2 linked regions of the Sus scrofa genome follow. The protein of the gene in region 2 purifies or fractionates together with the protein of the main gene of each other region. This does not show direct contact. Links are inferred from orthologs where the notes say so. Each region holds a gene or a part of one and is shown on either strand. Other genes may lie near its edges. The genes, in order: PHLPP1 and USP12.

Region 1 (3,823 bases), on a different chromosome or scaffold from region 2:
GCAGGATATTCAACAGCACCCCTGGCTTCTACCCACTCTCCACCCCAGTTGTGAAGTGCAGTTGTACTCAGATGTTACCAACTATCTCTGGGGTGGAAATGGCCCCTGGTTGAGAATCACTTACTCAAGTGGAGCATGAGGTGTGAACCAAAATAATAACTGGCTACACTGACACACCCCAGCTTTGTTAAGACAGGCCAGATACATCACTATTCCCACTTCACAGATGAGGAGACAGGCGTAGAGGTTTAAAGGTTGCAGCCCACAAGCGCCAGAGCAAGCATAGGAGGACCAGCAGCGTGACTTCAGGGCTAGAAACCTCAGCCACCAGAGCAGCTGTGAGGTTCAGATGGTGCAGTGGCATGAACCTGGCATAGGCCCCTGACCCGAGGAGGCCATCGATAAGTGCTTTATTATTCTGCACATTATAATGTCTTCAGACATATCACACACAGAGTGTGCTCTGTGACACTATGGATTTGGAATTTTAATTTTAAATCAACTTCAGTGTTTAAAGAATGTTCTTTAGAGGGAAATGCTCCCCGGCTGGTTTCTGCCACAACCTGGCCCTGTCCTCCCTGATCCTGAGGAAAACTGCTCTTCCTCACCTCAGTGATAATGGCCTTGTGCCGCTTGATTCTCTTCAGTTCTTCCTCAGAGCTCATGAGATACGATCTGGACAGAGGCAGCGGCTTCCCATTCCGACAGAGAACTGTTTGACACTTGCCCACGTTAGCAGAGGTCAAGGTGAAGGGTCCTCCTGGGTCCACAGGATCATGCTTGATATGACACAGGACAGCAGCACCTCCAAGTTTCTGCCCAGCAGTTCCAAGCTTCCTAGGGTATGAAGAGAGGGCAAAAACCCACACACAGCTGTCATGTGTCATTGTGCCAGACTCTGCCCCTGGATGACGCTAGGAAGAAAAACAGAACTTGGGGTTCCACTTGGCCCCTTTCACTGAAGTGGGCACTGCTCAACTTAGGAAAGGAGCCTGCGGAATCTGACACACACACATGTACACAGAGAGGTGTCTGCTCACAAGTGGGGTGAGTGTCAACTTTACCACTAAAGCCCTAGGAGCTGACGTGGATAAAGGAGCCCTTTTCCTGCTGCATCCAGCCTGCTACTCCTGTGTCAGGGCACCCTAAAGACAGCAGGGATGACTGCTTCCTTCCCTACCCACCTCTCAAAGCCCTTCTGCTGCTGAGAGGACAGCTGGAGGGACAACTTCACAGAGGCAGGTATGACACATTACACCCACTGACACTTCAGAATGTCCTGATCACCGTTCTCTTTATCAGGATGTTTGCTGGTTTGAGCTTTCAAGTACTGGACCATTCATGTACTTGTCCTATACAGCAAAGACTTTCTGGACAAGTGATGTCTATTCATGGATGAACATTCATGGAAGAGACATTCTAGTAATCAAGCTCCAAAGAGCTTTTACTCCCCATTAGTCCATACACTTACTAGATACACAATGTACCTGCAAGTTCCAATAATCAAAAGGAGCTAAGAATTCCTATCCCAAGGCCCACGGATGGCAGTGCCTCCCAGACTGGTCCTGAGTGGTACGGGGGCCAAAAGATTCAGAGAGACAGACTCCTCTGTTTACAAGGGCAGATCTGCAGGTCCTGTCAGCTGCCATCATGTCCAGGTGAGGCAAGAAGAACACAGCAATGGAAACCAGGGCTGCCTGTTCACATGCATTAGGATGTCATGCACAAAGAACAGACAGTTTTCCTGAGGACTGAAAAGATCACCACACATCCCATGTCCTAACAGCCAATAGGGAAAACAAGAGGCAGACAAAAGACCTCGAGGTAGGCTGACAATCTGGGCCTCTAAAATCCAACTTCCGCACATCTATGGCCAGATTAGGCTTTAGGCCCTGCCAAGGCAGCGCTTTCTTCCTGTCAAAGGCACAATGGTTTCTCTCAGAAAAGCCAAAAATAGGATGGTACTTGTCAAAAGGAATCAGAGTTTGATGTTCTTAAGTTCTTAATTCTTATCTAGCGCTTGAGGGTCTATAAAGAGTATACTTCTTAGGGGTGTGTGTGTACGGTGTGTGGTCTGTGTGTATGATATGTGTTTGCTTTTTTCCTAAAACAAGATGGTGGTCCAAAAGAAAAGCAGATATGGCTGATAGGTAGAATATTCTCAGGAATCAAATTCTGGCTGCACCGTCTACTAGCTCTTAGAGCAAGCTGTTTCCCCTCCCTGTACCTCAGTTTCTCATCAGTAAAATAAGAGTAGTAATATTCTATCTCACTGGGTACAATTTATGGCACTAATATATTTAGAAAAATGACTGGTACATTTAAGGGCTCACTAAATATCAGCTATTGTCAGCATCAATTATCAACTGCACATGAGAATCTAAAAGACATGTGAGTCAAGCAGCAAAGAACTTCACTGGGCCTGCCTCTACTGAGTATTTATGACTTAGGGGAACTTTTGAGGTTTCTCAGGACCAGCATTCCTTATCTGATTTTTTTTCTCTACCCCTGTTGTAAAGATACTTCCTCTGGCAGATTATGAAGGGAGAGAAAAAAGGAGAGAAAGAGAACAGATCGTCATTGTTCCCATGACCTTTAGAGCACTCTCCGCTTCCTGGAGAGTGTCTGAAGCACAATATTAATAGGCAATTCCTTGACAACCTACAAAGCCTTTAAAGTGACAAAAGAGCGAGCAATTCTTATAATGAGGGAATGCTCATAACATTCAGCCCTCAGTTACAAACAACATTCCACGACTTCCACAGTGACCAGAAACTCCAGGGAATGGGCTAGGATTCTACTATTAAAATTGTCATGAACATTTAATAAGGGGAAAAAAACAATATATAAAGAATCATTTAACTCCTGGCCTCAAATGTGACCACCTCGAGTTCACAAAGGTTGATGCTTCTCGAATCAGTGATGCTATTTCATGTGGAGGAACAAACTGAGGTGGAAACAGTCCATTTCAAAGAGAAGTCCACACACCAGGAGGTCTAGAGAGCATCTGGAGCACAAGTGATTTGGGGGAAGAGGAGTGTGTCACAAAAAAATCTAGTGAAAATCTGGAATCACGACAGGCTCATGAGACCCAGGTCTAGGAGAAACTGAATTCCTGGGAGTTCCCGTCGTGGCACAGTGGTTAACGAATCCGACTAGGAACCATGAGGTTGCGGGTTCGGTCCCTGCCCTTGCTCAGTGGGTTAACGATCTGGCGTTGCCGTGAGCTGTGGTGTAGGTTGCAGACACGGCTCGGATCCCGCGTTGCTGTGGCTCTGGCGTAGGCCGGTGGCTACAGCTCCGATTCAACCCCTAGCCTGGGAACCTCCATATGCCGTGGGAGCGGCCCAAGAAATAGCAACAACAACAACAGCAAAAAGACAAAAAAAAAAAAAAAAAAAAAAAAAAAAAAAAAAAAAAAAAAAAAAAAAAAAAAGAAACTGAATTCCTATTACTGATTCGGCCTCCTACAAAGTTGTCTGAACATCAGTATGTCTCGAACAGTATACAGTCTAGCCCTGATGCCTGGGCAAAACCAAACTGCCTGAAGGCACCTCAAAAAACCCAGATTCAACAAGATGCTTTGACATTACTGGGCACTTGTTTTTCTAACCAGATGGCAAGCACTCAAAAAGAGCAAGAAAACACACAGCAGTATTTTAAGTCTTACCTTTGCATAACAATGAACGTATTGACCATGTATTCTTCTTCGTTTTTTGTTTTCTGCAGCTCTTCTGCCAAAATGTCACTCATAGTGCACTGGAGAAGGTAGGGCACCTCCACATTCCGGTCTCCATCAAACACACCATACAGGGCCTCCCGG
Region 2 (2,832 bases):
GGGATGACCGACCCCCGGAAGCGACGGAACTGCTAGGACAGGGATGGGGACGGGGACTTCGCAGACACGGCCCCGACCCGAGGGATTCTCGGACCCGCACGCCACCACTGCCCGCGCTCTCGTCCATCCTGCCACAACCACACCGAGATTCTGACAGTCCTTTATTTTCCTGAAAGTAAAGCTGAATCAGATGACTGACTTTACAACGAGGACGAATGTGTAGCCGAGATATCAGTTCCTCCTGAAAAAAAGAGTATCTACCTCCTCTCACTGCAATGGGTCTTAAGGTAACTTACGATTTAGAATAGTTTAAAATTCACCTTAAAAATAGGAACAAACAAAAGGATTAGTTAAACCGACGAAAACTAATAAAAATATGCTCCAAGTCACTGGCAGAATCATGGGCACTTCATACAACACTTGGACTCTACCAGTTTTAAGGAAAATAAATAAGGAAACCAAGTATAATTACAAAGCCAGTCTTTCCCCTTGGGGAAACAAAAAGCCGCTTTTGACCAATTGTTCCCTAGATATACATATACTGTATATGATTAAAAGCTTCTTCAGAGAAGCAAACATATTTGTCTTCCTGACACTGGATTCTAGCATCTGTTAGTTTCTTTACATCAGGAAGGCGACTGCAAATGTTGGGCCCAAAAGTGTTTCTGGTTTACACTTGGAAAGACCACCCAGGATTCCTTCTCAAGGGGTTCGACCCAGCCAGGCGGATGCGGTGTGCTCAATGCTGCCCCCGCGGCCTCCGGCCAACCTCACACGGACTCCTATGCTTTCTACTGCACCCCCGAGGAGTTCAACCACGACGGGTGCCACGGAGGAGGAGAAGATGCGTGTCAATTACTGGAAGGCTGCTGGACAAGAGGAGCTGGTACCTCTGCTCTCGCTTCGTGTGCAGCTGCGCAGACAGTGTGATACCTGAGCAAACCCAGCGACCGCCAGGACGGGAAGAGCATGTCCATCCACGGTCTTTGCTTTATTGTGTGCAAAGGGCGCCACTGCCCCCAGAGCTCCCTGCATTCGCTTCTCTCGTCTTGGGAACATCCGTGCTTGATCCTTGCCCAAACGACCAGAGAAGACATGAGGCAGAAAGTCTCCGTGACGCTTCCCTCAGTCCCGAGACTGGTAGAAAAGGATGTAGCCAGACTCCGAGTTCTTGGAGATATCGGATGTCAACCCGTAGAATTCTTCAATAGCTTGTGCATCTATTTTCTTCGAGGCAAAGCATAAACATTAGGACAAGAATGAGTTCTCCGAACTGCTTAAACTGAGCAAAATCCTCAACATTTCTTAGAATAAGGCCTTTCCTCTTATGATTTTTTTTTTTTTTTTTTTTTTTTTTTTGTCTTTTTAGGGCCACACCCTATGTGGCATATGGAGGTTCTCAGGCTCGGGGTGGAATCAGAGCTGCAGCCGTTGGTCTACGCCACAGCCATAGCAATGCGGGATCCGAGCAGCATCTGCGACCTACACCACAGCTGACTCTGGATCCTTAACCCACTGAGCCAGGATGGGCACTCCAGAAAATACACTGTTTTGTCATCTGGATGGCAGCTGTGTGTTGTGTGTGTACATATATGTATGCATTCACGTGTAAAAATTTAAATTGTTGCTTAAGATTGGCATTCTCTACTGTATGTAGGTTACAGCTCAGAAATGATTTATACATTCTGTCTTTCTAGGGCCGCACCTGCAGCATATGGAGGTTCCCAGGCTAGGGGTTCATTCGGAGCTGTAGCCACCGGCCTACTCCACAGCCACAGCCACACCAGATCCAAGCTGCCTCTGCGACCTACACCACAGCTCATGGCAATGCCGGATCCTTAACCCACTGAGTGAGGCCGGGGATCGAACCTGCGTCTTTATGGATTCTAGTCAGATTCATTTCTGCTGAGCCACAACGGGAACCCGCCTCAAAAATTCTTTTTTAATAGTTTAAGTTTTTCTAAAAAAAAAAACTACCTCTGCTGTTAAAAGATTTCCCTTGTTTTTGATCCTGAACATTTTAAAGGTTCGCCAACTATTCCAGCACTGGAACTGGCTATTAGGGAGTAAGAAGTAGGAGTCAGACCACGATCTGAACTCGGATATTTGTCTGACATTCATCACCCGTATATACAAATAAGAAGCTGGGAGACAAACATGAAGAGCAAAATATATACACGATTTTGAAGAAAAACACGAAATTCGGAAACGACTTACTTCTACAATGTCGTCATCAAACAACAACCAAAAATCGTGACTCTTAACTATTGCAATATAATGGCCTCGATTGGGACCACTAAAACAGAGAGAAAGAGAAGTTAATTTTATTCGACGTTTATTAATATCATCCCTCCGTGCCCCAAATTTCATGTTCTATAAAGCAGAGCAACTCAAACAGATAAAAATACTCCTTACCTATCCTTCCCCCCAAAGATCAGGCTGCACTGATTTGAACTGGCATTCAATTTTAAAAGCAAGTAATTAGTTCTCTGAGACATATAACCAGTTAGTCCACTTGTATAAAGGTGTACTATTAAAATTCTTTGTTACCTTTTTAAATTATGTTTTAAGTTAATTTCAAATTTGCTTCTATGAAAAATTTTAATAAAATTTTGCAGCATTTGGGGATGGAGGGGATAAGAGAGGCAATCACAGCCAGAACATGCTGAACTGAATACACAACAATGCATATTTTCGAGCCTTACTCCCTTGGCAATAGTTTCCTCCAGGAAAGAATCCATGTGATATGCTTGAAAAAATATACCGTATCCATGTTCTGAAATCAAGTTCAAACTTGATCAACGTCCTTAAGAAAATGACATTCTTGGAGTT

Evidence for each region.
Region 1: the proteins of USP12 (region 2) and PHLPP1 purify together in Homo sapiens (affinity purification with mass spectrometry; 4 studies listed by BioGRID and IntAct, with this or other methods). This does not show direct contact. The link is inferred for Sus scrofa from reciprocal best matches to the Homo sapiens genes USP12 and PHLPP1.

The regions. Positions count from the first base shown.
Region 1 is NC_010443.5:158,647,137-158,650,959, forward strand, and holds part of PHLPP1 (PH domain leucine-rich repeat-containing protein phosphatase 1), read right to left. Parts: coding exon 3,671-3,823; intron 838-3,670; coding exon 609-837; intron 1-608. UniProt on the Homo sapiens protein: Protein phosphatase involved in regulation of Akt and PKC signaling.
Region 2 is NC_010453.5:4,614,164-4,616,995, forward strand, and holds part of USP12 (ubiquitin carboxyl-terminal hydrolase 12), read right to left. Parts: intron 2,297-2,832; coding exon 2,218-2,296; intron 1,228-2,217; coding exon 1,126-1,227; 3' UTR 1-1,125. UniProt on the Homo sapiens protein: Deubiquitinating enzyme that plays various roles in the regulation of the immune response and inflammation.